4 linked regions of the Notamacropus eugenii genome follow. The protein of the gene in region 3 purifies or fractionates together with the protein of the main gene of each other region. This does not show direct contact. Links are inferred from orthologs where the notes say so. Each region holds a gene or a part of one and is shown on either strand. Other genes may lie near its edges.

Region 1 (7,874 bases), on a different chromosome or scaffold from region 3:
CAGCTAGCTGGGTAACTCAATTCCTCTTCTCCTGTCTGCCTCCCCGCCCCCTTCCTTCTCCTCTCCAAAGGATGGTAAAGTTGGATGGCCAAAAGATGCCCAGTTGACTTGAGTTTTACTGGCCCCTTTCCTTCCCTTCCTTTTCTCCTGTTCTGTCCTATCCTGTCCTCTCCCAAAACCTTAAACCTACTGCACTCTCAAAGTGGGAAGCCAATGGGCCCCTGCCTAAGGGCTCCTCTTGACCCTCCTAGCTTTAGAGTGATTATCAATAGTAATTGTTGCTGTTTCCCACCCAGCCTGATGTCTTTCTTTTTCCTGACCTCATCAAAGGGGCCATGCCCTGGCTACTTCTTAAACAGGCCTATTCAATGAATGAGTGTTGCCTCACCCTAAGTGAGTACCTGCAAACACCTTGGCTTAAAGGGCCCAAGGTCTCCCAGTGTATCCTGGGTCATCTCCAGTCATCCTGATGAATATCTGGTCACTGGATTCAGATGGCTCTGGAGGAGAAGTGAGGCTGGTGACCTGCACAGCCCTCCCTCACTCAAAACAAAGTCAAGTGCAAGTCATGTCATCATTTCTCTGAGGGCATGGTCTTCTTTGGCAATGAAGGACGAACACAAAACCTAAGCCAAACTGGGACCAATTGAAAATCTTAGCTTGAAAAGACCAAATGCATCCTGGGCCGTGTCCAGTTGTCCTGATCTGTATCTGGCTACTGCACCCACATGGCTCCAGAGGAGAAAGTGGGGCTGATCACTTTGCACAGCCCTCCCTCACTTTAACTCAATTCACTTGCTTGTCATGGCCTCACTTCTCTAATGTCAGGGTCCTTCTGGAGAACAAAGAACAAACAGCAGTAGTTGTGTCCAATTCTTTGTAACCCCATTTGGTGTTTTTTTGGCAAAGATACTGGAGTGGTTGCTGTTTTGTTCTCCAGTTCATTTTACAGATGAGGAAACTGAGGCAGACAGGGTTAAATGATTTGCACAGGGTTATGCAACTAGTAAGTGTCTGAGGCCTAGCACTCCAAATACTATGCCACCTAGCTGCCCCACTGCACCACCTGGCAGGCATTTAAATACATAGTTGTTAAATAATACAGAAAATTATGTTTTGATGATCTGTACTTTTAAATTCTGGACCAATGGTATGATCTGTGGTTACATTAAAGAAGACACTCTGATTGTTTTGAAAACCATTTTAACTTCAATTTAATGAGCAGGAGAAGGAGTATGTAGTAGCAAGGTACTACACAGAATCAGAAAAACTGGGTATCAACAACTAGCCCAGTGACCCTGGGCAAGTCACTTACCTTTTCTGGGTCTCAGTAATCTCACTTGTGATATAAATGGTTTGTAGTAGATTCATTTCCCAAGTACTCCATTCCAGTAGTAAAACAATCAGTTTTACTATCAATGTAGTTTTCTAAAATGGAATTTTTCATTTTGAAATACTCTGCCTGTGGAAATTAATAGTATAACATAAAAAAAATTACTAAGGATATTGAGAAACTATGGGCCACTAAAAAGTACAAACTTTACAAATTTATTAATTCAACAGACTTTATATTAAAGGCTAGGTATAAAAGGAAACAAAAAGTGTAAGAACACACACACATTCAAATACAGCCTCAGATTACCTGTAACCTTGTGCAAGTCACTTAATCTTGTTTGCCTCAGTTTCCTCATCTGTAAAATGAGCTGGAGAAGAAAATGGCAAACCACTCCAGCGTCTTTGCCAGGAAAACCCCAAATGGAGTCATGAAGAGTTGGCCACAATTCATAGGTAGTAAGGGTCTCCAGGTTTCCTTCTGTATGACATTTTGTTAACTACATCAAGCCTGGGCAGGCTTCACAGCCTCTTAAGTGATATTTATTATCAAGAGTTTGGCCTACTGATCTACAAGGGGTGGGGGTGGGGGGAACAAGTAGATGAAGAATGCCTATTGTGCAGCAGGCTATAATTCAGCTACATAGATAAATCATCAGTACCTATATCTTGAACAGCCACCTTGAATAGCAGTGATTTAATTGTAGAACTTCCTGGGAAGAGGAGAGTAGGCTGTAGTGATTTTGGAAAATCAGACAATATTTTTGAGTTTCTCTCTGTTTTTACCCTAACATTTTCTTACAGCAGAGTGTAGCATTCCGCCGTATTTAAGGCATCCTCAAACAAACACACAAACACACACACACACACACACACACACACACACACACACACAGGATTGTCAAGCCTTTGATGATGGAGGTCCTTTCATATCTACAATCCCAGAGTAATCATTTTTTACATACTTATTTGAATACTTTCAAAATCTATTTCAAGTGGGCACACTGCAGCAATGCAGATCACAAAATGGCTTTGCTCAGAGATGGTTCAATGGACGGCTGAAGCCAAAAATAAACAAACTTAATTTTCTTTCCAATCATTTGGTGAAGGTATTCTAAACTTAGTTACCTAGGTTGGACCCTGGAGAACAGACCGAAAGGGTCCATACCTATACTCACGGTGTTTTCAGCTTAGCAAAATCTTCTGTGGCCTGCACTTTGCAGGTATAACATTTGAGGACTAAGGATTACCTCTCCAGAAACAATGAAGCAGTACAGTGGGAATTCAATGGGTGTCTTGTACAATGCTGTTCAGTAGTTTTTCAGGCCCCATTTGGTGTTTTCTTGGCAAAGATATTGTTGTGGTTTGCCATTTTCTTCTCTAGTTCATCTCACAGATGAGGAAACTGAGGCAAACAGGGTTAAGTGACTTACCCAGGGTCACACAGCTACTAAGGGTCTGAGGCTAGATTTGGACTCAGGAAGATGAGTCTTCCTGACTCCAAGTCCAACACTCTATAGGCTACCTATTGTACATAATTGGTGCTTATAAATCTTCGTTAAATTGAAGGCTTTCAGGATATGTAGGCTGAGGAAAGATTAGACTCTCACCAGTCTTAACAATTATACATTCCCAAATGTCTAGCCACCCTGTTCTAAAAAGTTGAAGTTTCAATTTGTCATGAACTAGCAAGAAATGGAGACAGGTCAATTTCACAGAATTTATGAAATGAAACTAAGCTCTTTTAGAGCAGGAACTATTTTTTGCCTTTACTTGGATCCCCAATGCTTAGCACAGTGCCTGGCACAGAGTAGGTTATTAATACATGCTACTTCACTGAAATATTGAACTACTTCCAGTTTAATTAAGCTTTTTCTAAAAACAGGAATGTTACACTTGAATTTCTATGTCTGGTCTCCCAAGACATGTCTTGTTAGGATCTGTGTATAGGCCCTGTCTGCAGTCTTAGGCTCAATCCCAAGCCTGAGAGCCTGAAACAAGTTATCCAATCCAACTCTCATTCTACAGAAAACAATGACCAGTGGTCTGGCAAAGTTGGGGAGAAGAAAAGGGAAGTTCCCACTATTCCTTATACGTGACGGTACTGTTTAAATGATACTGCATCGTGGAATACATTATAAACTATTTAGAAGGAAGTAAAGTTTCATTACTTTGGACTTTACAAATCTGCGATCATCTGGTCTGTGCTCAGAGCTCGTAGAGACTTCACACCCCATGAAGGCTTACTTTTTCAAACTTTCTCCATTTGAAAAAATCCACCAAGCAAAAAATAACATCAACACGACAGCAATTTGGTAACATCTTTAGAAGCTAAATACAGTGGTTACGTGAATTAAACATAACACTTATTCCCGAAAATTGGATGAGTATTATTCATTCCTTAAGCAAAGTGGGTTTTTAAAAATACAGTGGTCCATTAATTAGTCCAACTTCCCTTGCGATTATAAAGCAGCAAAATCTGCACTTTAATAACAGACCATGGGCTTAGACTGACCAGGACACTTAGCATTCACACACAAAACACTTTCCCCACAAAAAGACAGCGAAGCGCGCGTACAAGTGTCCCTTATTTTACAAACGTCTAGTCCACGCGTCTGCTAAGGGTCACGACTTTTGAGGCATATTTAAGCAGTATTTAAGAAACATTAGCAGAACGGTGCCGCCAATGCGCCCCAGAGAACTCACACTTCCGGTCCTCTCAACTTCTCGAAGCGCACGTGCAGAGCTCCGGGCTGCGAAGTCCCAGCGGCCCCCGCGGCACAGGGAAGGACGGGGGCTCAGCCGGAAAGCGGAGCCTGGCGGAGGAGCCGGGGGGAGCGGCGGGCTCCCAGACCTCACCTGTCTCCACCCTCGGCTTCCCGGGCCTACTGCCCGCTTCCTCCCTCCCCGAGTCGGCCCTTTCCCCTTCAGTCAGTCTCACAAACTCCTTGGAGAAGATTCCCCCACTCGCCCGCGTCCTCCCCTCCTTCCATCACGTCACCGTTTTTATCAGCCCAGGAGTCCCGAGGAAGCAGCCCCGCCTTCACGCTCAGGATCCAAGTGGACCATGGCTCCCAGGGACACTACTCTGTCCCTACCTCCCGGGCACCGTAGTTCCAAGAGATTCGTATGCCCTCCTAGTCTCCGCCCACCGCATGCGCAGAGACCCCTCCCTCGCGCGGTGGTCGCTTAGCAACTTCCCCGAGTCCTCTCGCTAGGGGCGGAGTCTGGAAGGGAGTGGAGAAGCGGTGAGGGGAGCGGGGAGTGGAGCCAATCGGAGACGAGTCCTGGCGCAGAACGGCACGCCTCTTCCAACTGTCGCGAACGCGCATGTGGCTTTACGGCAGAGGAGGGGGGGTGGGGGAGCGGGGAGAAGGCGGAGAGAAGAAACCAACCAACCAACCAAGCCACCCCCACCCCCACCCACCTCAGACCTGGTTTACGGCTCCGGGCTCAGTCCCCTGTGAGGCAGCTGATTGGTTGGTGGGGGGTTGGTCCCTTCCCTGTGACCCCAAAGTGCTGAAGGGGGGCGGGGGTGGCCCTGTGCAAAGTGCACCCAGAAAGCCCCCCGCCTTGAGCCCCCCGGCCGGCCCCCTCCAGCCCGCGGCCCCCTCACACCCTGCAGGAGCTGATTTCTTCCTGCCCAGAGACCTTCCCGGTCCCCCCACAACTGCGGCGCTCCTGCCCCCGACATCGGCAGCCGCTGCCCCGGGCACCCTAACTGGCTCTCCCCCCCACCCCCTGCCCTGAGGTCCCCCCAGATCAGGCTGCCTCCCCCGCTCCGCGGTCCGGGCGCTCGCCGGCCGAGGCGAGGCGCTGAGGAGAGCCGGGCGCCCGAGCGGTCCGGCCCTGAGGCGATCTCTTTTCATGGAGAAGTTGGTGGCCGCGGTGGCGGCGGGGAGGAGGAGCAGAAGCCGCTGAGGCTGGAGAGGTAGGAAAGTCAGTTAGGTCCCGGGGGCGGCGGCGGGGAGCCGGGTCACCTGCGCCCGCTCCCCCCGGCTCGGACCCGGCTGACTGCTGCCCGCCGGGGCTCTGCCTGCTTGGCTTTTCCAGGTTCCCCGGAGACCCGAAAACGGGAGGACTGCCGAACCGGCGCCGAAAGCGGGCTCCGCTGCCAGTGCCCAGGTGAGCCTCCTGCCCTCCCCCGCCCCCTCCCGCCGGAGCCGGGGCTTTATTTAGGGGAGCGCCCCGGTCCGCGCTGCCCGGCCGGCCAGGCAGAAGCCCCGCCTGCTTCCTAACCTCGCACTCCTAACTTCCTGGCCCCGGGGCTGGGGGCTGGGTGCCATCCTCGCCTAGACTCCCCCTGCCCGGCTTGGCCGCTGGGAGACCTTCGGGGACGTTTTTATTTGTTTGCTCCTCCCGCAGGGACTTCACAAGTCACTGGCTTTGCTGGTCAGTTTTTCAGGAAACTGTGATTTATAGGCATTTTCTCCTTGACTTTCCTCATCTTTCCAGTGGTCAGCCTATGAAATTTGGAGGACGCTGATAAGCCGTTTGAACGTGGATGTAGATAATCTGAGTCCTAGAAAATGTATCGATTAATCTTTGTACTTTGAATTATTTGCAGAATTTAATTTGTCATCACAGTATGTAGAGAAGTCACGATTTTCACTTTTTTTTGATAACTTCAAATTTGAGGTGTAGATAATGGACTTTTACAAACCAAGCCAAACACAATGCATTTCAGGATTTCACCAAGAATGGTTAACATCTCACAATATCTTGACAACAGGGGATTATTGTGTTTGTTTGTTTGTTTTAAAGAGAGGGGGGTTCACGTTGAGGTTGGTTTTATCTTAGGCCGCGGTCTGTAGGACTTTATTTTGGCAGTCTTCACGGTTGGCCTGCTTTTTAAATGTAAAAATCTTGCAGAAAATGTTCGGCTACTATTTTAAAAGCTGGTAAAGATGTTAAAAAATCCTCCATTTGGGGGTTATGTTATTGAAAGTGATTGAGAGGTAAATTCAGGCATTTATACAGCCCATACACTGGGAGACAGAAACAGGAAAATTGGCTAGGGAAAATTTTATGTAGGAGTTGGCCAAACGAACAATATGTTTCTGACATACAATGACATTTAAGGATGTAAAATGACTTCTAATTACTTCTTTCATAATCTTTTTAATATTTCAAATTATTTGGGATGTTTCCTTTTCAGTTACAGTTACAAAGCATCACTTAATTGCAAAGGGAGTTGGTAGGAAGTCTTTACTTCACCTCACTACCCTGTGGCCTTGTGCCTTCCTTGTGGAAAACAAAAATTGTGTCATTAATGGACCTTTCCACTGTCATTCTGAGATAATTCCCCTTCCGATGTGTTGCATTTATAACTACTGTGAACCTTAATGGGAATTGACTATCAGAGGGAGAATGTACTGTGCTGAATACATTTTACAGTTACTATGTACTAGTTAAAGTAGATAATATTGGTGAAAGTTTAATGTCCCTTTTGTCTACTCACAGGCTTTTGCTTGTATTTTTGTGGAGGGAGGTGGAAAGAGACATAAATATGTATAGAATCAAAGACAGAGACCTTTATTTGCTACATTTCAATAAAACTAGGCAGTACAGTCAAGTTGGAGGATAAGTTTCCACATTTAAATATAAAAATTTCAACTGCGGATAGTACATATGTTAGGATTTTTTCCCCTAAACTCTTTAGTTTTTGATATCAAAATGAAGTTCTCTGTTATGCAAGTTTTCTCACTTAAGCATGTTTCAAGCTTAAATTTAATAGAACATATTTCCTTCTGAAGGTTCTTTTTTATATTCCTTTGCTAAAGTACTACTAAAGCCTTATTAGAGTATGCAAACAATCCTGGTTTCTGAAAGGGGGTGATGTGAGTGAAGTAAAGCTCTGGAAGGAGCTATCAAGGTGGAAGGACATGTAATTCAAAGACAGTCCTAGTTAAATTTGGAGAGGTTCGTCACCAGAAGGTTGACAACCAGGTGATAAACTCATTTGCCCACAGCAGCATATGAAGACCACATATGTTGTGGAAGGGTTGTGATCTGTATTGGGAGGAATACCCACACCAGTGAAATTGGGTCATTTGACATAATGAAGATTTTGTTTTAAAATGATAGTCTGTAACTAAAGTGCAAATTTAAGGTAAGGAAGGTTTGCCTCCATACCCCACAACTTGGCCAGTCCATCATCGTTTTTGTTGTTTGTGTTATACCTTTTTAATTTTATTTCATTGATTTTTAAAATTTGTTTTATGTCTTTAATGAGTTGTTTTGCTGATATAAGTTCTATCCATCTTTTGTGTCTCTGAGAGTGTAATTGAGAATTGGAGTTGTGTCAGACACTATTTTAACCAGTTTGCTGAAATGTTCTTTATTGTTCATGTCTTAATCCTGCTAGGATTTTTTTAGTTCATTAATTGTATTGAAAACTACATTTAAAATTATTTTGAAAAATGCATTTTGAAAGAAGTATCTTAATTTTCCTGGTAACCATAAGGTGGTTACAATTTTGTAGAGAGTATTTGCCATACTCATATTAACATGTGATGTGTTACAGTACATCTTTGCCATGT
Region 2 (8,050 bases), on a different chromosome or scaffold from region 3:
TCCTTTACATGCAGAGCTGGGACAAGACTGCACAAGAATGGCTTACCCCTCCCCCTCCCATGTGATTGTGATGCTGATTCCCCTCCCCCCATGGTCCAATTCAAGCTACATCTTCCTCCACCGTGTAGATTGTGTGCCCCAGTTCTCAGCTTCTCAGCCCTTCCTCCAATGGACCAGGCCTTTCCCTATTTACTGTAAATTTGAGGGAAGCACTTCATGTTTGTGATTTCTTATTGATTGGGTGGAAAATGGAAAGGGTGTGATTTGGTGCTCTCTGTCTCTCTGAGGGGTGGGTGACTGACAACCTTTTCTTCTACTTCCTTTCTACTTCAGACCCCAGTCATTGAGGGGTGGGAAACAGGTGATAACAAGGACGAATGCCAGCTTTGTGCCACCGCCTTCCTCTGAGTAAGCCCCAGAGATGAAGGAGTGTAGGGGAAAGAAACAGGAGAGACTATGACAGCATCCAGTGATGTCTTCTCTTTGACTGTCAAGCAAACCCTAGTTAGAAAGTACAACACAACTGTAACAATACTCATTATCATTTAAAGAAAAACAGGCCTTCAACTTCGGCTGAGGCTATTGTCAAGTCTGTAGTGGGTGGGGTCACTGGTAGAGCAGGTAGCGTTTCATGGCAAGGGGCAAGGGCAGGGCAGAAACCTCACCCAGCCGGGCTTCCCCCAAAATGTCACGAATGCACACTCGACTCAGGTGAAGAAGGGAGTGAGGTTCCGCTGTGGGGAGACAAGAGAAATTTAATTACTTCCAGAGTATCGAATTGGAGGTCATTCCTGGCCTCACCCCCACCATCCATCCTTGGGCCTTTCTGCTACCCAGCCTTGTAGGGTGGAAGGGACTGGTGTTTTGGGGGGTGGGGACATAGTGTTGTCTGAGCCGTGCTAGACATGATTTTCAGAGCTTACAAACCTATGCCACCACACAGGTATGAGGACAGCAGGGCAGACTCCTTGATGGGAGTTGAGAGACTTATGCAACTAACTGCCACAACTGCCTTTCTTCAAAAAAGAGGAAATAAGTTCCTAAGTACCAGAAGCCTCTGCGCCCTCTTCCCTCCAAGCCAGAGCTTTCCTGGGAAGGTGGGCTAGTACAATCTTTAACCCTGGGTCAGAGCCTTTGACTCAACCCCATCAGACCAAATTCCTCCCCTCCACCTAGGTCCCAAACCTTTTGTTTTTTCCCTTCGGGCCTTCATATTGTGCCCACAGTTTTTATTGACAGTTTTAGGGGACCCAAATGGAAAAAAGGCGAGCTTGAGTGGTTTTAGATCACAGACCCCTACCCTTGTGACAGACTACCTTCAAACAGAACAAACCAAAGGGAAGCTTCGGATGACTTTGTCCCTTCTCTCCAGTTTGTCCTCTGAGCCTCTCGAATAATCACCCCGTGTCTTGGAAATGCAAGCGACCCCATCCAGTCCAGCACCCCACTCTCACCTCTCCTTTCACCCAGGTAGCGGATTCGAACCTGGCACTGCCCCCATACAGCACTGACAGCAGGGTACAGGGTTCTTCCTTTAAGGCCCCGGAAGGCAGGCCCCAAGTAGGTACCTCCAATGGCATAACCCAGAGTTCCTTCCTCCATATCCAAAACCACCAGCAATCTCTCGGGCACTTCCAGACGCTCATCCCTGAGCCCCGTGGGGTATCTGGGAGCCCCGTTTCCCTCGCTTTGGTGATACAGCTTACCCCGCCCAATGTCCCAGCCCCACGATTCCCCATTACTGCCCAGTAATGCTGCATAACAGTCCGCCTGCAGTGGCGCTAAGGCTGTGGCCACCCCCACCACGGCATGGGTGCCCCTCTGCTCTGGGGGCCAGGCGATCTCCCAGGCGTGCAGGCCCCTCGAGTAGCCTCTCTTGCCCCGGGCTCCATCGGTGCTCTGAGCCACAGGTCTTCGCTCAAAGCTCAGTCCCTCTTCCCTGACCTCGATGTTCTCCGAGCAGTCCTTGGGGTTCCAGCCGTGATGCTGCTGCACACTCAGGTCTACGGGGGGTGCCGACAGCAGCTCCTCCAGTCCCTCCGGGAAAGACAGATCTGGGTACGAGGTGGTTGGGGATGGGGTGCCGCCGGTCCCACTGCCGCCCGCCAGGGCAGTCTGGCCCATGGGAGGGGGGCTTGGAGAATCCCCCCAATGCAGGCCTGGAGAGGGGCCGGGTGGTTAGAAGGTAGGGAGGGCGCTTCTCCACCCACCGCCGCTAGTGACCCGGGAGGGAAGAACGCTGGAATACAGAAAGCGCGAGTGACTAATCCATGCTGCCCCGGGCATCTCCCCCACGTCTTCACCACCCAGCCGCCGGCACCCCGAGGTGTCCTCCTTAATGCTGCCTTGCCCTCCCAGACTCCGCGGTCCCCCCCACCCCGTCCTGTCCGTCCACGGCCAGTTCTCTATCTGCCTCCCAAAGCGTCCCGATCTCGATCCCCACCCCAGGCCTCCTCCCTACACAGCGGACTCCTTGCCCTGGAGAGAGTCCGAAGACGTGAGTTCGAATCCCCGACCCTGCTGCTTATTACCTGTAACCCTGGGGCCAGTCACTTCCCTTTGGGCCTCAGTTTCCTCATCTGTAAAATGAGAGGTCTCAGCTAGATAATCTCTAAGGTCCCGGCCGGCCCCAAAGCCAAGGACCCCACGGTCCCTTCCGGACAGCCCCAGTTTCCTCTCAGCTTCCGCCTCCTACGCCGGACCCCGCCTCCCACCCCCCCCCGTCTCCGCCCTGCTCCCCCTAACTCCGCCCCAGACCGCGGACTGGAGCATGAAAAAAGGGGGCACGGGTTGGGGGGAGCGAGCACGCTTCCCTCTTAGGATCGGGGTCTGGAGGAAAGCACCCTCCGATGGGCGGGGGGAGAACCCGAGGGTCCGAGAGCTGAATTTGGGGAGGCGGCCGGGCCCCCTGACTGCACAGTCGGGGCTTTCTCCGGCTCCGCCCCGGCCTTGGTGTCTCCGCACTCGGAGCTCACCTTTCACAGGCCGGCGCTGCCTTAGGAACCGGGGGGCGGGGGGCGGAGAGGGCAGGGCTGGCAGCGCCCCCGCCGGGCGCTCGGGGAGTGAACGTCAGCAGCGCCCGGCTGAAAGGTGCCTGCCCCCTCCAGCTGGGCGGGACGAGGGGGGGGCTGGTGGCCGTACTTTGTGCGCGTGCGCAGACCGACGTCGGACCCCCTTCTGGACTCAGAAGAATGAATGAATGGCACTTCCTGCTCCGCCTTACAATTCCCGCGGTTCCGTCCCTTGAGGGGGCGGGGCGCCCGGAGCCCGGCGAGCTCGGTGCGTGCCCCGCCTGGGCCCAGGAATGGTAGCGAGGGAGGGCAGGGCGCGCCTCGGCACCCTCTGCCGGCCACCGTGGGACGCTGCACCCTCGGCCCTCCTCTGCGACGGCGCCCCGCTGACCCAGCCCTGGCCTGCCCAGGACAGCGGCCGGCTCTTGCGGGCAGGCTCCCCGCCGCCCTCACCGTGGCCCTGGTAGGGAGGGGATGCGGGCAGGCTCCCTAAGTGATGGGCTGCTCTGGGTGTCCAGTTCTTCCCTCCGGGGGGTCCTAATCCCCTGAAGCAAGAGGGCAGCCTGCTTGCCGGGATCATCGATTCAGAACGGGGAGGGACTTCAAAGGCCATCTAGTGAGGGAGTAAGTGAGAAAACAAGCATTTATTAAGCGCCTGCTGTCTACCAGGCTCTGTGATAAGTGCTGGTGAAACCAAGGCAAAAGAAAATGAAAAGCGGCTCACAGTCTAATCGGGGAGACATCATGGAAACAACTATACACAAATAAGAGATATGTAGTTTAAATAAGGGATCGTCTCAGAGAGAAGGCACTAAGATTTTAGAGACCTGGGAATGGCCTTTTGCAGAAGATGCGACTTTAGCGGATCCAGGAGGCAGAGAGGAGGAGAGAGGGTATTCCAGGTCTGGGAAATAACCAAAGGAAATAGTCAGGAGTCGGATTGTCCCGTGCAGGAGTGGCAAGGAGACAAGTCTCACCTGAAGGCAGAGGAGGTGGAGAAAAGCAAGGTGTGAGAAGACGGGAAAGGTAGAAAGGAGTGAGTTATGAAGGGTTTTCAAAGCCAAGCAGTGGTATATGAATGTAATGGAATACTATTGTGCAATAAGAAATGATGAGCAGGTAGATTTCAGAAAATCCTGGAGAGACCTGTACAAACTGATACAAAGTGAAATGAGCAGAAGCAGATACACAGTATCAGCAACATTGTGTCATGATCAACTGTGACTGACTCAGTTCTCAGCAACACAACCCTCCAAGACCAGTGCAAAGAACTTGGGAAGGAAAATGCTATCCATATCCAGAAAAAGAACTGATGGACTCAGAATGCCAATCAAAGCATATTTTTTCCACTTTATTCTTTCTCATGGTTTTATTTCCTTTTGTTATGTTTCTTCTGCAACTGACCAATATGGAAATATGTTTTACATGATAGCACACTTATAAACTATATCAAACTGACTACCATTTTCAGATCAGGGAAAGGGAGGGAGGGAGAAAATTTTGAACTCAAAATCTTGTAAAAATGAATGATAAAAAATTATTGATATGTCATTGGGGAAAAATACTACTTAAATTTAAAAAAATAAAAGATTCCAGCAATGTTGGACCAAGATTTTTAAAAAAGCCAAGCAGGATTTTATATGTGATCCTGGAGGTGACAGGGAGTCATGAATTTGTTGGGAGACCCAACAAGAAGGCTGGTCCAGGCATGAGGTGATGAGAACCTTGTTCAGGATAGTAGTGTCAGGGGAGAGAAGGGAACTTATGCAGAGATGTAACAAAGATAGAAAAGACAGGACTTGACAAAAGATTGGATATAGGGGGTGAATGTAAGTGAATAGTGGAAGATGATTCCCAGGTTAGAAAAGGTGTAGAAGAACCACAGAGGTGAGGCCATCCCACTACTTCATTTTAAACAAAGACCTCGGAAGGCTATATAGTGTCTCATTGGCAACGTCAAAAGCTGAATTTGAACCCCATGTCATCTTCCAGGGACCCTAGGTGTCATCTTCCTGAGTTCAAATGTGGCCTCAGACACTTACTAACTGTGTGATCCTGTTTGCCCCAGTTCCTCATCTGTGAAATGAGCTGGAGAAGGAAATGGTAAACAAGTCCAGTATCTTTGCCAAGAAAACCTCAAATGGGGTTAGGAAGAGTTGAGCATGACTGAACAACAACAACAACAACAACATCTTATTGCAGAGCTGGAACTCCTTCTACTTTACCCTGTTGTTAATGATAATTTTCGGAATAACAGAGCACTTACTATGTGTTAGGCTTTGTGCTAAGCCCTTTACAATTATCATCTCATTTGAGCCTCATAACAACCCTGGGAGGTAGGCGTTATTGTATCCCTGTTTTACAGATGAGGAAACTGAGGCAAACAGGTTAAGTGATTTGCTCAATATCTCTCAATAGCAATCGTCTGAAACCAGTTAAGAATTCAGGTTGAGGGAGTTAGTGTAGACCAAGAAGACAGACTTCTCAGTAGAGGTTCCGATGGCTGGTAGGACACTTGGAAGGGCCTGGCAGCAGATGTCTTGGTTCTATTACCAGTATCTGCTTGTCACCATGTTTCATATGCTGGAACCTTGGGAGAGGACTGTCTTCAATTCCATGTTGATTTCCATTGTTGGAATGGCCTTATACACTGGATACATCTTTATGCCTCAACATATCTTGGCAATATGACACTACTTTGAAATTGTACATTGAACACAATGTGCTCAAGAAGTAACAGACCACAGATCCGTTGAAGGGAAGAAGCCATCTCCCTTGGTGAAATGAGACTTCAGAAAATTCCAGACATATGTTGTGAATATGAAGACTAAATTTCAAGGAAGTATTAGGACAAGGAAATAATCCAAACTCAAGCAATCCTGATTGAAACGTTCCCTCATATAATAGTTTTATCTACTTTGATATTGTAGTGGTTTGTACTCTAAATATCAGTATTTTCTTAGCCTTTGGAACTGTTTTACTATTGGTCTGTGAAAGCTTTTCATAATGTAACATTGAGAAAATTTTGATTGCTTTATATTGTTTATAATCTGAGATCATTAGGCCTCTTGCTTCAGCAGTTGTCTGGCACAGATATCTACCTAGGATATATTTAAAGCATTGACCAAAATTTTGTAGAAATAATAACAAGATGAAGAGGGAATACTTCAGTTGAGTATAAGAGACTTCTTTCTAAATTTATACTCGGGAGTAGTTTCAGCTGTCTAGACTCCTCATTATAAAACATTTATTTTGCTTTAGTGTTATTAAAAAAACAAAGTATTTCTCCCCTTAATAGCGAAAGAGCAAAGAAGATTCTTCTACAGTTAGAATAAAGGAATACCTAACCTTTTAATAGTTAGCCTTATTTTATGGATTTCACATGGACAAAAAGTTCTATGATAGAAAGCTTTAGAGAAGTAATCTACTTACTTAGCAGCATTATTATGGAATGCTGACCTCAGATGGTAGTTTTATTAAGTAAATAGTGAAAGATTTCCTCAAAGGTTATCACTAACATTTGGAGTCCTGTGAAATTGGATTTCAAGACTGTAGCTGGTGCTGAAAATTTTAAAAAGCATATTATTGTTCACAGTGAATAATTAATAAAACTATAATCCAAGGAGCTTTACAAACTTGTTAAAATAGCATTTAACACTTTGTGATGTGTGTACATTGGGGTGTGTTGTAAAAATTTGTTTCCAAACTAGAATTTTTCTGTGGTGAAGGCTGATTATCAAAATTGAAAATCAACTGATGGGAAACCTTCTTTGTTTAAGAGTCATGCTGTTCTTGATTTTAATCTCATGTTGGGTATTTTTTTCCATTCTAAATTTATTGCTGCTGAAGATTAATCATTCTTAACTGGTTAGTTTTCAGTTTCTCCCCACATTGTAGAACTGACAAACTTTAAAAAGTAATTTAATCATCAACAGGCATTTATTAAACAACTTTTAGGTGTCAAGCACTTGGCTGCATGCAAAGACAAAAAGAAAGACAATTTCATAGAATTTGAGATATGATCCAACTCTTTATTTTATAAATGAAGAAAGGGTTAAATGATTTTTCCAAGATCACACTGATGAGGTTCAGACTCTGGGAACCTCCTTGAATTCTCCTCGAATCTTCTGGAAGCCCATGTGCCCTGGTTCCTGTTGCACTCCCCACCCTTGATCCTATCAAAATCCCATTCCCCAGGCTGCTGACCACTCCCATCAAGATCCTCTCGATCTGTATTCACCCCAGAGGACTGGTCATTCCCATCAAGACCTCTGGATTGTCCCACCTGCTCCCCACTCAAATCTTCCATTGACTGATATCTCCTGATTGCCTCTAGCTGTTTCCAACCCTTGACCAGTCACCCCAATCCCATTGAGGTCCTCCTTGGACTTCTCCTCAAGACCCTCCCTAAACCCCTCCTCCCATCACCCTAGACTACCAGACCACCTCCATATCCCTCCTACAGTCTTTTCTATGTCTAAGTTCCATCTTGCCTCCATGAAGGCGCTCAGACTCTGTCTAGCTGAGATTCTATCAGTCCAACTTGTTAATACAAGCATTACAAATGCTTAGGCTCCCTAAGAGTCAACCCAATATGGTGAATCTTTAATAAACTTTGTGGTTTTTTTTGACTTAAAAAAAAAGAATTCAGGTCTTCCTGATTCCAGACTAATAGCTCTTTCCACTTCACCACTTAGCTACTCTGTTGCTTTCTAGAATTAGGTAGTCTTGAGTGAGTCACTGGGCCTCAGTTTTATCATCCGTAAAATAAATTAGACTAAGTAATCTTTAAGGAACTTTTTAGTTATAATTATAATAATGGTGTGGGCTGGACATACACTTGATGAATGTTCCCATAGGAAGAGCTACCTATCCCAGGCTCATTTCCTAGTTTTGTGCAAAGTACAGAAAAGCAGACTGTCACTTTACTAATTATTAATTAATTCATTAGCCAGTAAGGGACTTTATTATATAATTTGGACACCATGTGGACACCCTTAAACTGTCTGCCAGGTGGTTTTGTGAGAATATATCTGGCC
Region 3 (7,686 bases):
AAGAGTGCATGAACAACAGTAATGTATCATCAGTAAAGGTAGGCTTGAATCAGATTGTGGAGGGTTATCAAAATGCAAACAAAAGTGTTTATAATGAGATACTTTATTCAAAGTTTTGCTAGGCAAACTATATCCACATCACCTCATCCACTGGCACAGTCATCTAGTCAAAAAGGGAAATGGGGTTAGTGTGTTCATAATGAAGCCTGCAGACTCCTAGCTTGTTTTACAGATAAGGAAACTGAGATCCAGAAAGATGAAGTGATTTAGTCCGAGTGCGATTTTAGGCGAGTCATTTAACCTCACCGTACCTCAGTTTCTTCATCTGTAAAATGAGGGGACTGAACTAGATGAGCTCTAATGTCCCTTCCTAGGTCTAAATCTAAGATTATCTGATTATAAAGACAAAAAGACCAAAGCTAAGAACTGAGTTTTGGTGGATACCCATCATACCCCACTAAGCTGGATCAGTTAGAAGAGGAAGGAACCATTTGGCTGGGGATGGGCCTAGGGTGGTGGTGAGCCTGGGAGGGAGAATGGGGTGAGAGGAAGGGGAGAAGGGGGACTTATCAACAGATGCAAAGAAGCAGAGACAAAAAGATCTGTACACAGAGTCACAGGTCAAAACAACCAGGGATCAACTGTTCTCAAGCAGAGTCTGTTTATCAAACAGGAACTGCCAGGAAGAAAGATTTAAGCTAAATTAGAGTTCAGGTGCCAGTAGGTCAATAAGCTGAAGATAATAGAGTCTTGGATCAAAGGGCAGATCTTACTGGCAGTTCTTATGGGGGCAGCAGAGAAGCACCCTGAGGGTTTTACAGCCCATATCAACTGACCCTGTGCTCCCTAAAGTTACAATTTTGCTGAGATTCATTTATTTTAGATTCATTTAACAAAATTATTTAAATATTTATTTAAAAGAGAGAGAGAATTCCACCAGTCTTCCAAAGAAAAGAAATTTCAGAACACTTTTTTCACCCATAAAAAAATATTTTTTATAGAGATGATGGAAAAGGAAAGAGTAAGAATGAAGACAGACAAGTGAAGAAAAAGAGCAAAAATGGTCATATTTACTTTCTTGGAAAGTCTTGTGAAAGGAGTTTTTGAAGGGATGAAAGTACTTTTCTTAATAGAAACACAACAGGAAAATCACCATAGTACAGAAATACAAATACCTTCCTCCTGACCAATGCAACAACATAGCCAACTAAGATACAACATAACCAACTAGTAGACATTTGGTTAAGAAATAACCTTGTGCACAGGTTTTATAAATTGATGGGATGTAGGGAAAGTGGTTGAAGGCTAGGGCAGAGTCAAAGATGACAGGTTTTGTGCTTGGGTGAGACTGGAAGGCTACGGTGCTACTAACAGGAGTAGGAAAGCTGGACTAATCCTACGATTTAGAGATGGATTAGGTTTTAAGGCTTATCTGCTCCAACGCCCTCAGTTTACAGATGAGGAAACTGAAACCTAGGGAAATGGAAAGCTTTGGCTAAGGTCCCATGGGTAGTAAGCAGTACAAATAGAGTGGAGCCAGTTTTAGAGAGATGATGATAAATTCAGTTTGGACATACTGAGTTTGAGGTAATATCAGGACATCTAGGTAGAAATACTGGACCATCATTCAAAAAAAAAAAATCAGGAATGGTTATACAGATTTAGGAATCATCCCCATAGCTGTGATACCTGAAATCATGACAATGGATCCTCTCACCAAGGGAGAAAATATAAAGAGGAAAAGCAAGGGGTTATGATACTTCATCCTCTGTAAAAGAGGGGTAGACATAGTGAGGTATTAAAATATGAAAGATGGGGGTAAATAGAATTCCCAGTAGAAGATCACATTCTTCTCAGTACAATAGAAAGTGAGGTCATTTGCTGAGAAAAGTGGGGTAAATTTTGGGTCCAGATGCGAAAGGAGGTTTGCAAAATCCCCTGTGGAAAGTGTGACAAGGTGTTTATTAGAGATGATTAAAAGCTTTGAGGTTCATGATGGAAAATACCATCCACATCCAGAGAAAGAACTATGGAGTCTGAAATCAGATCGAAGCATACTATTTTCTCTTTCTCTCTCTCTTTTAATTTCTCATGGTTTTTCCCTTTCTATCTGATTCTTCTTTCACAACATAACCAAAGTGGAAATGTGTTTAATATGATTGTATATGTGTGTATAATATAGTATATACATATGTATATACAATGTATATTGTATATGTATACATATGTGTAGGTAGTATGTATTGTATATAGTATATATACATATATGTATATATACAGCCTATATCAAATTGCATGCTGTCTTAGGAAGGAGGGGAAATTCAGAATCAGAATTTTATAAAAGTGAATGTTGAAAACTAAAAATAAGTAAATGACAAGCACTGAGGTTAAAGAATGATTTCTAGTATCAGTATCTTATCAGTGCGTAGGTAGCCATAAGATGTCCTAAGCCTTACAGAGCGTTCTGTTGCATTTAAGGGTCGATGGCACATTGGTTTAAGTTTCAGAGCCTGAACATCTTTAACTGGGAAGATAATGTATTGCATATTCAATAAACCCTTCTACTCTTATTTGGGTAAGCTCCTTTTCCGCCATTCCTGCACAGTTCATATGACTCACAGCACCTGTGAAGGACAAGTCTTGGTTTGCTGGTTCACATCATAGCTTTGTTCCTCATTGCTCCTCCATTCTCTGTTATCCTGGGCTAGCCCCCTGCTTTGACATGCCTTTGACCCATGACTGGTTCTACATTCTGTCAGACACCAATTGCTTGCTTCTAGGGGGCCACATGGATTGCAAAATCTCACAAGATCACACTAATGCCAGTCAGGAGGACAAAAAGTAGATGGGAGGGATCTTTGCCCTCATCATCTGATCAAGACACTGTATAAACAAGTTACTCAGCATCTCCTTAACCTCAGACATGGAAGCAAATACAGGGAGGCTGCCATTATGCACAATATCCTTCTTATCCATGAGGTCCCTGTGCCACATTAATTTTTTTAAAATTTCCCTTAGTGCCTCCCAGTGTGCTATGAATATACTTACTGCCCACAAATAGTGGTTGCATGAATGAGTTCCAAATGTAGTGAGGGCTGTGCTCATCTTTGAGTACTTGGTAAATATTTGACTCGTCTTACATACAACCATAAATAATGGCCATGTTCAAATATGATTTCCCAATCAATATTTTTAGCACTGACCTCTCAAAAGATCTCCAATTCTGTACTTTTTGTCCATCCCTCCCCAAACCCCTGATGCTGAATGAGTCTAATTCATACTTTTCTCCCAATCCCTCTTTAAACTCAATCTATCATAATCAGTCCCTATGGTTGTCAATTGGCACTACTATACCTCAAATTCTTTCTTTCCCTTAACTTTTAATGTATAACTAAGCCCTCCTAGACTTCTGTTTCCACTTCAGTTGGACAAATTTAATGTTTCCAGGAATATTTCTGCCATCTCCCAACTGTGGTACCACATGCCACTCCTGCCTGGAGGAGCTTTCCTCCTTCTTTCAACCCATCTATTATCCTTTCCTTTTTCAGACTGCTCATTAATAAGCAACTACCTTTTTAGGCTTAGTCTGGTTGGGCTCCAAATTCTCTAAGTAATCCCACTGTGATCATCTTCCGCACTACCTCAGCTATCCAGCACTTACAGGTACCCAATAATTCCGTATAAATGATATTGATACTCACATACAGCTTTGTGAGGAATGTTCCTTCCCCCTCCCTCCCCTGTGCCCACTGCTGACTTAAGAAAACCCTAACGGGCTGAGGGCTGCCAGGGAGACGGCAAGAGGTCACCAGGAGAGTCGGGAGGAGACGAGAAGGACAGCCGGTATTTATGCGGCCCTTCACGCGTCTCGTCTCGCTGGGTCCTTCCACTTGGGCAGATAGCACCTCCCCACCGCGCAGAGGAGGAAGCTGAGGCCGCACGGGTTAAGGACCTGCTAATTTCATTTACGTAAATATTCTCCAACGGATCCTCCCGACGGCTCGGGGAGGTCTTACCGTGGAGAAGTTTAGGCAGAGGAAGGAAATCAGTGTATTGATCACCCATACGTGCCTGCATCGTACCAGGTGCTTTCCTAATATCCCACGTGATCCTCGCAGCAGCCCCGGAAGCTGAGAGGGCCTTTGTGATTCCTATTTTACAGACGGGGAAACGGAGGCAGCCAGTGGTGGCGCGCCTGGCCCAAGGTCACGGAGCTCGTGAGTACGGGAGGCAGGGTTTGAACTCGGCTCTCGCACAGGGGTAGGGAGCCTTACTCGGCTGATTCCTTGCCCTCTTTTACGAAGTGACTTCAAGCACTGGGGGCTCGGAAGGCCAGGGCTTAATTAAGCTCGGCACCGGGCCCAGGCCCTGCCCACATCAGGCCTCAGGGCTGCGGACTGCCGGTGCCCGGCCGAGGGCAGCGCTTTCGAGGGGCGACCAAGAACCCAGGACCACCCGCGGCAAGGTGAGCGCAAGAAGACACGCGCAGGGCAGGAGGGGGCGGGGCGGGGCCCGTTCAGCTCCGCCCCGGTGACGTAACCCAAGCGCAGGCAGAGTCGTCCAATCCTGGGCCGCGGCGCCGCGCCGGCGGGGCTGACGTCGGCGTGCTCAGCGGCGTGGTCGACGTCGGCGTCCGCGGGGGCGTAGGCGGCGGGCTCGGTAGCTAACGGTCGGCCGGCTCTTCCCTGCGGCCGCCTCTGGAGGGAGCTGCAGCCTCTCCCGAGGAGGCTTGGCCCCGCCGCCATAGCTCCCCGCCGCGCTCGCCCCAAGCCTCTCCCACGCCGGCCGGCCGGGCCCGCCCGCGCCGCCATGGCCGACGTGGAGGACGGAGAGGAGCCTGGCGCGCCGGCCTCGCACTTGGGCAGCTCGGGCTCCAAGGCCGCAGGCGACAAGATGTTCTCCCTCAAGAAGTGGAACGCTGTGGCCATGTGGAGCTGGGACGTGGAGTGCGACACGTGCGCCATCTGCCGGGTCCAGGTGATGGGTAAGCGCTGCCACGCGAGCCCGGGGCTGCCGCGAGGCCTCCGGGGCGTCTCCCTCCCCCACGCGGCCACGCACGCGCGCTCCTCCCCCGGCCCCCGTGGGGGGCCGACGTCTTCCGTGGGCCTCTGAGGAAGCAAGCAAGCGCGCGAACGCACGCACGTGTGAGCGCAGGCCCGCCCACCCGGGCCTTCTACCGACGGAGGGGGTGGGGGAGCGACGCGCTTTCCTGTCGAAGGCCCGCAGGCCGGCGTGAGACTGGGCCGGGTGTGGCCGACGGGGCCGCGCGTGGGGGAAACTGCTGAGCGCCCCCCGCCCCCGGCGGCCGCGCCTGTCAGACCCGCGGGCTCGGGGGTGCCGGCCCGGCCATCCCGAGGCGCCCCTGCCCGCCTGGTCCGGCCGTGGGGGGACCGGTCCGCAGGGACGGCGTGCTGCACCGAGACGAGTTTGATCACACTTAGAGTAAAGGAATCATGTGCCGTGTGTGATCGATAAGCTATGATTGATACGAGTTGGGACGTGCGTTTGCTTTTTATAGACCCGAGGCCCAGGCAGGTGAAGTCGTTTACTCCCAACCCTCCTAGGAAGAGTGCTGTTTAAATACAAATTACGAGAAAGAATGGAGGCAAAGAGAGGTTCATGTTAAAAAATAAAACCTTCTGTACTTGGGAACTAAAATATGAGTTTTAGAGTCATTAGAGGGGAAGTAAATTGTAGACAAGATTTTCTAATTAAGGGATGAGATTTTTAAGCATATTGGATTATCTTAAGCATCCTGTATCTTTTATCCTTTCATTTTGAGGATACTTTATAGTATTTATAGTGATTCAAATATATATATTTTAAGTTTTTTATCTTTTTTCTGTAGAATTTTGTTACAACTTAATGTTGATTCTTACTTTTCATGCTAGGGACATGATTTAATTTTTCCTCTGACATGAGAAATACGATCTCATTTTAAAATTTGGGTAGTGTTATTTTGTTGAGAGGGAAAAAAACCTTGATTTATTTTATTTAAAAGATTTCTAGTATTATTTTTCTTATGTAAAGCTGTGAAAAAACTTACTGTAAAGGAGTAGAAGTTCTGATTTTTTAAAAAGGAACATTTCAGTTTGTAGGTTAAAGGTTTGTTTTCATGGTGTCATTCATTGTGTTCATCCTTAAAGTGAAAATAGACCTCTAAAATGTTACATTTTGTTGAAAGTAAAAACATTTTCGGCTTCTATCCTGCATTCTGAAGGGTTAATATTCAGAAAGTAATTTTCTCTTTTTACCAAATTAATTACTTCAAACATTAAATAGAAATGTGGAAACCTATAGTGGCAGTTGATATTATATAACAAACATGCTTGAAGTATCCAATGCATGCATATAAGAATTCAAATGGCTGTAATTCTACCATCTTAGTTATAACACTTATTCCACAATTACCACGTTGATACAGATTTAGAGCAGTTAGGTTTTCTTAGTCTACAAGTATTTTGGAATGTATATTACATACAGACTTTTATTTATGGACTGCTAAAGTCCAGTGAGTATTCAGTCAATAATAATAGTGAGAGATTCATTTTTTTTTTAAACAAACCACTTCTGTCCTAAATTACTAATTAATGATCCTAATTACTACAAACTAAGTGACTGACAGTTAATAATACATTAAGTATAAAGAAGTAAATAATACCCTACTTAAGTTAGATATGAGCATCATGAAAATTCAGGCAGATTTTATGGTTAAAAAGATAAAAGTAGGATTTTATATTAGATCTCGTTCAGAGTTTTGATATCGAATATAAGCCAAGTCTTTGGGAACAAAGTCCAGATATGGTGGCATTTATGAAGAAAGTTTTTGTTCAAGTTTTGTATCCTATACAGTGCATTACTCATTTGAATAAAATGTGCATTGAGTAGACTGGGCCATCATTGCTGAAATTTTGGGATTTATTCCAGTTATCAGTGATTTCTTGTGATATCCTTGCTCAGAGGTTTGACTGTCTCCACTGGAATCTTTACTCCTGCTATTTAGGAAGGTGGCACAGTTACCAAGAGAGGAATTCAGGAAAGAGAGAAGAGGCATGCTATCTGTGCCAGCGGAGTACATGGATGAACCAGCAGGGGAGTGCTCCTAAGGTTCCTTTTAGGATTTCTGTACAAAGTAATGATGTATTGGGGGACATGACTGAGAATACTAGAGGTGGTATGTATGTGCTACAGTCAGGAGGAAAGGGGAGGAATGTGAGAGGGCATCTAAGAGGTGCCATAGGCTTTCAGATGTACCAAGAGTTTTAGGTGTGGCCTAGTAAAGAGAGTATCAGACTGGGTTAGAACACCAGTTGTATGACCTTAGACACGTCCATCACTTTACCCCCTGGTTCCTAGTTTCTTCATGCAGAGTCAGAGGTGACCTGAGGAGATGGGGAGTTAATTTGTTTCATCTTTCTTCAGTGTCATGAGGCCAGGATTTCTTGTCTACCTAGAATAGGCCTAGTGTTTTAAATGTACTTTTCTCTACAAAAGGATAGTTGTGGCCTTATTCAGCAAAGTATATCTTGAGGAAAAAAAATCTGTAGAATGTTATATCTCTTTATAGAACAACTATTAAAAGCATTGAGAAGGAAAATAAATGTGAATTATAGTATATTTGTTTTTCAGGAAAATGTTTTCTACCTTCAGCATTAAAAGCTGTTCGCTACTATTTTTTGTCTTCCT
Region 4 (8,090 bases), on a different chromosome or scaffold from region 3:
CCTTAATAGATGTTGTGGACTGACTGACTGGGGCAAGGGTGGGAAGCAGGGACAGCCTTCTGGAGGGGGTGGCAACCAGCTACGTAAGTCTTGACTATTGATCATTGCTTCCTTCACTTCACAGAACCAGCTTGGAAGCTCTTTGGGTCTGTGCACACCCCTTTAAGAGATGTATGCTGCCCTAATGATCACTGAATGCACCAATCTTGTTTCAGCTCCTCCGATAGCCAAGCCTGGCTCCTGCTGCGCAATAATGCCAGCCTGCTTCTCTACAGATCCATCCTGTTTAACCTTCTCGACTGATTTATTGTCCCAATTGAAGGATTTGCTGGTCCTTCTGCTGACACCTCCATGCATCCCAGGGCAATACAGAAATATTACTGTGAAGGCCTCCGAGGAGCTTTAAATAAAATTACTGTGGGAATTTTCTCTCCATACTCTGACTTAAAGGATGGCCTATGGTGCATTTAATCATTGGAATGTTTGTTTGGTTTTGTTTCACATCTTAAAGGCATCTGTATGGTATACCAGTCTTTCATTTGACAGAGAGGAAGGGAGGGAGAAAGGGAGAAGGAATGGGAGAGGGAGGGAGGGAAGGAGGGAGAGAGAGGGAAGGGGGGGAGAGAGAGAGAAAGAGAGAGAAGGAGGAGGAGGAAGAGGAGGAGGAGGAGGAGGAGGGACACAGAGCAGTTATGTGTGAAAACAACAGCCCAGGATCCAAGGCTGCTGCAGATACACAGACTGTAAGTTTTCTCCCACACTCTGGGCCTTCCTTTGTTTGCAAGGTGTTACATGAAAGCCAGTCTGCTCAGCAGGCCTTCTGATCTGCAGACCTGCCCCCCAGAGACATGGAGCAGGCCTTCTCTCCACAGGACCTGGCCAGTGTCTGGTTCCTGTCTTGGGTTCACGTTTTTATAGATGAAATGCAAGCAGGATTTTCCTCTCCAGGGAGGCCAGTCCTCTTCCAACTCTGGTTCCTCTTCTAACTCTGGTTCCTCTTCTGGAGGTGGGTCAGACTAGAGGAGCTGAAGGGCATCTCCAAGGTCTTGAGCACCAAGGCTCATCTACTCCTGGAATCCCCAGCAGTGAAAGGCAGCATGGGAGTTCGGGAAGAGAACTGGACTCCCAGTTGGGCTCGGGTCTGAGTTTTGCCTTCTACTCAGTGTGTAATCTTAAACAAGACACTACCTTAAGGGCATCCTCAGTTTCTTCATTAAGAAATGAAAGGGTGCAGGTGAGAAGATTTCTGAGGCCCCTTTGAGCTCTACTGTACTTGAATCTCTCCATCCCTGACCTGTTGAAGGTTGGGGGAAGGATAATCCTTCCATCTCCACAGACCCTCCTGGACATTCTCTGCTAGTGTAGATGCTGCTTCATTGGTTTACACAAGTGAAACCAAGAGCCCATGTCTACATGTTGGGGGAGAGCTGCAAGGAGTCTGGCATAGATCTGATGGAAAATGACTCCCTTGAATTTTCCCCACAGCAGGGTCTTCTGGCAGTATAGCTTCTACTCGGAGACTACACTCCCTTCATTTAAAATAGCAAACAGCAAAGGTGGAGGGCCATAGACCATGGCCTGATCATTGGGGCCACGTGGTGGGACAGGGGAGAAAGCCCCAGGGTCTTCCCCCTCACTGCATGGTCTTTCGCCATGAATGAAGGAGTCAGTGAAAGGCATGAAGGATGGGGAGCTGATTGAGGCCTATATGAAGACATCCCCAGTTGTGGCCTTACAGTCAAAAGGTTCCTCGCAACCAGTTACAGAATGCCCAGGTGTGCTCCCAGGTCTCAGCAGGCACCTGCCTTACAGGGAATCATAACTCTCTGGAAAATATGGGATCAGCCACGCTATCTGGTAAAATCTGTGCAAAGAAATTACCCAGCATCTACACTCATTGGGTGAGCGAGCTCAGTGTTGTTTTTTTTTTTAAATTTAAACTTTGTCAGAGACACTTTTATTCACTATATACGACAATCAATTAATTACAGGAGGAAATATAGGCTGACCCCATAGAATTTCCTCTGTCAACCAAGTGAGTTCCAATTACAAGAAATTCCCAGCTAGTATACATAGCATAAAATAAAGAAAAAAAAGGCTCCACCACGAGCTGCGGCTGATTAAAAGAAACAGCATGTTCCATACAGGGAGAGCTAGGGACTGAGTTCACAGTGCTCAGATAGGACTCAGTAGCATGTCACAACATGGTGCATCTCACTGATGAGGGGAACACTGGGGACAAAAATAACATAGAAAGGAAGATTTGATCAATGGTTTGGATTTAAGGGGTAGGGCAAGATACACTTCTCCAAATTCTGTTTGCCTCAATTCTCTCCTTAGGAACTCTCCACAGTCCTTATGTTTCCACATGTTAAAAGGACACAAGAGTCCCAAGAAGGCCTTTAAAGTGAGAGACTCCAAATAAAACTACAAAATTACAAAGAAAATGGTTACTTTTGGGTTTTTTTTGCTGTTGTCTTGGATGATGCTGGGGCTACCATAGGCACTAGAAGTAACAGATGCTGAGAGAGGTCATTGCACCATTGGTGCCAAGAGAAGTCAGCGGACTTCTCTACAATCACATAATACAACAAGAGGAAGTCTTGAATAGTGGAGAGAATGCTGCTGGATTTGAGGTTCAAATCTTAATCCTAACATTTGCTCTCTTGACCTCAAACAAGAAAGATGACACTAGGATTACTCATCTGGAGGCCCGGAAGGATGGGGAGCCCTTGAGAGCAATAGGGAACTTTGGAAGAGGCATAGTTACGGGAGTGGCGATGGAGTTCATATCATCTCTCCACATAGAGAACCCCATGTTCGAACAGGTTAGTTTTTACCTGCTGATATGGGATGGAAACTTAGGAGAGAAATTAGAGGAGGCAATACAGATGTGGGAGCCCAGTCCTCTTCAGAGAAGTGATAATTGGATCCATGGGCATTGATGAGCTATCGAAGCCAGAGAATATGGAGATGGAACCTTGGGGAACACTCACAGCCTGTGGGCATGCCTCGATAACAAGTCAGACCGGGTCAAAGACTATGGAGAGGTCCAGGAGGGCAAGAAGAGAAAAGGCTGGAGGATTTGACCTTAATTAAGAGATCACTGGTAATTGCAGAGAAAGTGATTTCAGGTGGCAGCCCAATTTCATGCGGATTAGCAGAGCCTGAGAGAAAGGAAGCCGGTGCTCCAGGTGGGTCTAACTTTTTCTTGAAGTTTAGACAACTTGAGAGGGTCCTAGAATTAAAGGAAAGGAGTTTTTTTTTCTCCCTATTCCTTTTTTTCTTTTCTGTTTTTTAAAATGGGAGAAGTATGAGCTTGTTTATAAGCAGCAGGGAGGATGTAGTGGACAGGAAGAGACTGAAAACTAGATGATGATCATAGGGACAACTGCTGGAGAAGATAGGAGAGGATGGATCAAGGATGTCTGGACAGGGCACCTGTTGTCATTTTGTCATCAGATTCCCCAGCCTGTAACACAATATCTGGTATACAGTAGGCACGTTCAGTTGGAAGGATCTTACAAACTGGATTCAAGCCTCTCATTCTACAAAGGAGAATTGCTTTGCCCAGGGTTACCTGGGGGCAGAGCTGATACTGGACCAGCATCTGGCTCTTGGCTTAGAGTACCAGGGTCTTTCTACTCTATCATCTTTTGGATTCTCAGTTCTGTGACATCCTTTCTGTTTCCTTTTTGACCTGGTGACCACTGGGACACTGGACCACTGGGAGCTCTGGACTTGGGGTCAGGAAGGCCTGAGTCTGAATCCCAGTTCAGACACTCACTTAACTTTTCTTAGCCTCAGTTTCCTCATCTCTAAAAAGGAATAATAATAGTGCCTACTCCTCAGGTTTGTCATGAGGATCCAGCGAGATAATAATTGTAAAACACTTAGCACAGTGCCTGGCCTGGAGTAAGTGCTATCTAAAGTTATTATTGCTATCATGAACCTCCCAGGATCGTTAGGAAGTTCAGATGAGATTGCATTTTAAAAACAGTTTGCAGATTTTAAAGTGTTCAGCTCAATGGCTCCCTATTTCCTCCAGGATCAGATACAAAGTGCTTCTGACATTCAAAGCCCTTGATAATCTACCCCACTTTTCCAGGCTTTTGGCACCTTCTGCCCCCTTCCCAGCATGCTCCATTGACGCTGGCCTCCTTGCAGCTGTCCATCTCTGGGCATTTTCTTGGGCTGTGCCCCAAGCTCTCCTCATCGTGTCTCCTGGCTTCCCGGAATCCTCCCGGAAGGCTCCTCCAATCCCTGGCAACGCCAGAGCCTTCCTTCTGGATTACGTCTTATCTATCCTGTCTGGGGCTTGTCTCGTGGTTCTACCCCATGGGATGGTGAGCTCCTGCGGGGCAGGGATCGGCTTTTACCTTCGCATCCACCCCCCAGTGCCCAGCCCGGGACCAGGCACATCAAAGGTGCCGAGTGAACGCTTCTCTAGGACTGAAATTAGAGTAATTATATTAATAAAAAATGCCCACGCTTGGAGGGCCGTGGAGTCTCTGTGAGTGAAGCACGGACAGGAGGCCAGCTCACACTCGCCCTCCGTTATCTGGGTTCTCTGGCCAGGGCGGGGGCCTGGTACCCCCTGCCCCTCCCACTGCGGGGAGCTTCCTCCCAGGGCCCAGCTGCAGCCGGCCCGACAGGATCGGCTTTCCGAGCTGGGCACCCCCGCTGCTCCTCCGCCTGGCTCTGCCCTCCGGGAGCAGGCTTGGCCCCCACAGATCGGCCTGGGAGAAGCCAGAGGATGGCTGGGGGCGGCCCGGGGCGGGTGGGCGGTGAGCGCGGGATGCGGCGAGCCGCCCACTGCCCTTCCCTCCCCCAAGGGATCCTCCCCCTTCGGGAGGCTCCCGAAGGACGCGGCGGCTCCCCCACCTCCGCCGAGCGCCCCCCTGCCGAGCGCCGCCCCCCTGCCGAGCGCCCCCGCGCCCAGCGGCCTCCCCCGCCCAGCAGCCCCAGCCGCAGCCTGGGCCGCTCCGGGCACCGAGCGGGCGCGGAGAGGGCTGGGAGCGGGGCGGGCCCGGGCTGGCGGGCGGGCAGGGAGGGGCCGCCCTGGCCATGGCCTTGGGCTTGGCAGCGGCTCCCTGCTAGGGGGAGGGGGAGGGGGAGGGGAAGGTTCGGGACCGGCGCTGCAGCCCGGTGACAGATGGCCGAAGGGAGCTGTCAGGACAGCCGCCTCGCTGGCCCCGGGTCCCAGCGGAGGGAGCCTGGCGACAGCCTGGAAACCCAGCCCAGTGGCTGGAGGGGGGCCCCCTTCGGAGCCACGGATGGCAATGCAGGTAATGTGCCAGGCCCCAGAGCCCCTTCACTCTGGTGGGGGGTGTGGAGGGGGTGGGGGTGGCCCCGGCTCTGAATCTAGGGGGAAGCTCACGTCTGGCACGCGCCCCAGCTTCACGGCCTGCCCCTCGGACACCCCAATGCGCTTCCCAGGCTGAACTCGGGGAGGGGGAGGAGCCCTCAGCCTCGGAAGGACCTGCCACCTGTCTGGGCCTGGAGGATGCCACCCTGGGCCCAAGGGCAGCAAGAGTCCACTGAGGGCCCCAGGCCTCCAGCAGTGAGCGCTGGGCCCTTCCTTTCGGGGCTCCGCAGGCTAGCAGGGTGAGGCTAGAGGTGCCAAGCAGAGAATGTGCCTTGCCAGGCTCAGAGCACTAGAAATGGCAGCTATTGTAGCTGTCACTGGTCAGGCTCGGACCAGTCAAATTCTGAGACAGGTCTGATTTAGGGAAATTAATGCAGTCAGGAGACTGGAGGTGAAAGCCAGGTCTGCCTGACATTTCCTGGGTGTACCACAGTGGGCCTGGCCAGTCAGGGCATCTCTGAGCCTTGGTATTCCCCTCTGCACAATGGGGTTGTGTAAAAGGCTTCATAGATACTTAGTGAGCAGATATGCTCCTTCCCACACAGGGCTGAAGCTTCTTGAGGCAGGGGCTATTTCATTTGTGCTTTTGTATCCCCAGTGTCCCCCTAAGGACTGGGAACTAGCCAGGAGACTGGGGGATTGGGGAGGGAGGCTGGACCTAGAGCTGAGTTCAGATTCTACCTCTGCCTCTACTAGTTGTATGACCCTGGACCTCTGTCAACCGCAGTTTCTTTTTCTGGCTATTAATAGACCCTTCTTCCCAAGGGTTGCTGGGAGGATAAACATACTTATTGATCAGTTGATTGGGAATCATGATTCTTCCTCTGCCTCTTTAGAAGAGTTGTTGGATGCATTCTTTAAGCACTGCAGACAAGGGGAGCAATGGAGAAATGCAGTGAATTTTAGGGGCAGGAGAGAGTGAGTATTCTTGTCATGGAAAACTCACTTTTATTGGGAGGATGGGGGGTGGGGTTGGAGGATGGTCAGAAGACCTGGGCTCTAGCCCTGGCTCTGTCATCAGCTGTCTTCATGACCTTGTGAAGGTCACTTCTCTTCTCTGGTCCTCAGTTTCCCCATCTGAGCTGGCCCCTTCCCCCTTTGTCATTCCAGGTATAATATTTCTGGAGGGTCATCTTCAGTTATTCATCTCTGTGTTCCAGACAAGTGGAAGGAGCGAGAGGTTAGCAGTTGAAGGAACTAGGTGACCTTGGGGCCACTGATTTCCCTTTCTATCTCTTGAAATTGAGGAAGTGAGACTAGATGATCAATAGTCTTAGATACCTTCCAGTTTGTCATTTATTATGATTCTGTGGTCCTTGCTGGATATTTTCTCTGAGCCTCAGTTTTCTCAACTGTGAAATGGGAGGATCTGCCTAGATCAGAATTCCTAGAATAACCTTTCTGTCATATCATAGATCTCTTTGGCAGTCTGAGCAGTCCTATAGATCCTTTCCAAGCATCATGTTTTTAAATGCAAAAAATAACACATACAGAATTACAAAAGAAACCAATTCTATCGGAATATAATTACAAAAAAATGTTCCTGGATACCAGTTTAAGAATCCCTGGATACATCACTAGCATCTCTTCCTATTCTTAATCTATAATCCTATTTAATGAATTTATATTTTTAAAGAAAAGAAGAAATCAGCGTAGTTGATGTATACGTTGAAAAAGGATGCAAGTATGTGAAACGTGGCTCACTCATGGGCTTCCTGCTCGTGCAGAGGGGATGGGGTGGGAGTATATTCTAGGATCTCTTCTCTGGAGCCCTGAATGCTTTTTGTAATTTTGTAACTTTCACTTCTGAGTTTTTGTTCTTTCTGTTTACATCATGGAGTCACTGTATCTTTTGTTCCTTTGGCTCTCCTGACTTCACTTTGCATCAGTGCATGTAAGTCTTTTCATGCTTCTTTCAGTTCATCACAATTCCCATTTCTTACAGGACAGTAATATTTCATGGCATTCATGAATCACAATTTTCTTAGCCTTTGTTTTCTTTGTGGTGTATTGGTAGATTTAATGTTTTTTTTCTTTCAGTTTTATTTAGTTCAAGTCATGTCAGAGTTTTAGTTTGTATTCTGATCAGGTCCTTTTGAGCAGAGGTTTTTTTGGGGGGGGGGGAAATAAATATTAGGTTAGGGATGATGGGTGTTCCTGTGATTACACCTCTTAGGTGAGGAAACTCCTGTTGGCATCTTCTCCACCATTTGAAGTCTTAAAGAATTCCCCCTACCATGGAGAGTGTACACTTGTCAAGGGTCGTGCAGCTAGTATGTGATAGAGTCAAGACTCAAGCTCTCCTAGCTTCTAGCCTAGTTCTCTGGCCATGAGGCTTTGCCACCTCCCACTGAATTGTAAAATTCAATTCAGAAATCGTTATTAGATAGCAGCTATATGTCAGGTTTTGTGTTATGTGCTGGGGTAACCACAATAATAATTTAAAAAGCAAAACAGAACAAAAACATTCCTGGCTTTCAGGAAGTTTACATGATGGAGAAAAGGAACAGCATGTTTGAAGTTAAATAGACACAAAATGGATCCCATTGGGATTCCTGGCTGACCATGGGGTAGGGGTGGGAGAACAGGGAGAGGCAGAATCCTGTAGGAAGGATCAGTTGAGCTGAACCTTGAATTCCAAGAAGTAGAGGTGACTAGGGAGAGCCTTCCAGATGGTGGGAGATGGCATGGAAGACCTGGGGAAGTGACCTTAGAAGTCATT

The links.
Region 1: the proteins of RNF7 (region 3) and ASB7 purify together in Homo sapiens (co-immunoprecipitation; 4 studies listed by BioGRID and IntAct, with this or other methods). This does not show direct contact. The link is inferred for Notamacropus eugenii from reciprocal best matches to the Homo sapiens genes RNF7 and ASB7.
Region 2: the proteins of RNF7 (region 3) and SPSB2 purify together in Homo sapiens (co-immunoprecipitation; 3 studies listed by BioGRID and IntAct, with this or other methods). This does not show direct contact. The link is inferred for Notamacropus eugenii from reciprocal best matches to the Homo sapiens genes RNF7 and SPSB2.
Region 4: the proteins of RNF7 (region 3) and ASB1 purify together in Homo sapiens (co-immunoprecipitation; 3 studies listed by BioGRID and IntAct, with this or other methods). This does not show direct contact. The link is inferred for Notamacropus eugenii from reciprocal best matches to the Homo sapiens genes RNF7 and ASB1.

Annotation. Positions count from the first base shown.
Region 1 is NC_092872.1:154,030,060-154,037,933, reverse strand, and holds the start of ASB7 (ankyrin repeat and SOCS box protein 7), read left to right. Parts: upstream 1-4,694; 5' UTR 4,695-5,263; intron 5,264-5,385; 5' UTR 5,386-5,457; intron 5,458-5,697; exon of another isoform or gene 5,698-7,874. UniProt on the Homo sapiens protein: Probable substrate-recognition component of a SCF-like ECS (Elongin-Cullin-SOCS-box protein) E3 ubiquitin-protein ligase complex which mediates the ubiquitination and subsequent proteasomal degradation of target proteins.
Region 2 is NC_092874.1:195,224,272-195,232,321, forward strand, and holds SPSB2 (SPRY domain-containing SOCS box protein 2), read right to left. Parts: upstream 3,041-8,050; 5' UTR 2,976-3,040; intron 2,706-2,975; exon of another isoform or gene 2,580-2,705; 5' UTR 2,532-2,579; intron 2,240-2,531; exon of another isoform or gene 2,160-2,239; 5' UTR 2,125-2,159; coding exon 1,455-2,124; intron 735-1,454; coding exon 607-734; 3' UTR 466-606; downstream 1-465. UniProt on the Homo sapiens protein: Substrate recognition component of a SCF-like ECS (Elongin BC-CUL2/5-SOCS-box protein) E3 ubiquitin-protein ligase complex which mediates the ubiquitination and subsequent proteasomal degradation of target proteins.
Region 3 is NC_092877.1:330,008,257-330,015,942, forward strand, and holds the start of RNF7 (RING-box protein 2), read left to right. Parts: upstream 1-4,557; 5' UTR 4,558-4,809; coding exon 4,810-4,984; intron 4,985-7,686. UniProt on the Homo sapiens protein: Catalytic component of multiple cullin-5-RING E3 ubiquitin-protein ligase complexes (ECS complexes), which mediate the ubiquitination and subsequent proteasomal degradation of target proteins.
Region 4 is NC_092873.1:66,137,327-66,145,416, forward strand, and holds the start of ASB1 (ankyrin repeat and SOCS box protein 1), read left to right. Parts: upstream 1-5,090; 5' UTR 5,091-5,155; coding exon 5,156-5,288; intron 5,289-8,090. UniProt on the Homo sapiens protein: Probable substrate-recognition component of a SCF-like ECS (Elongin-Cullin-SOCS-box protein) E3 ligase complex which mediates the ubiquitination and subsequent proteasomal degradation of target proteins.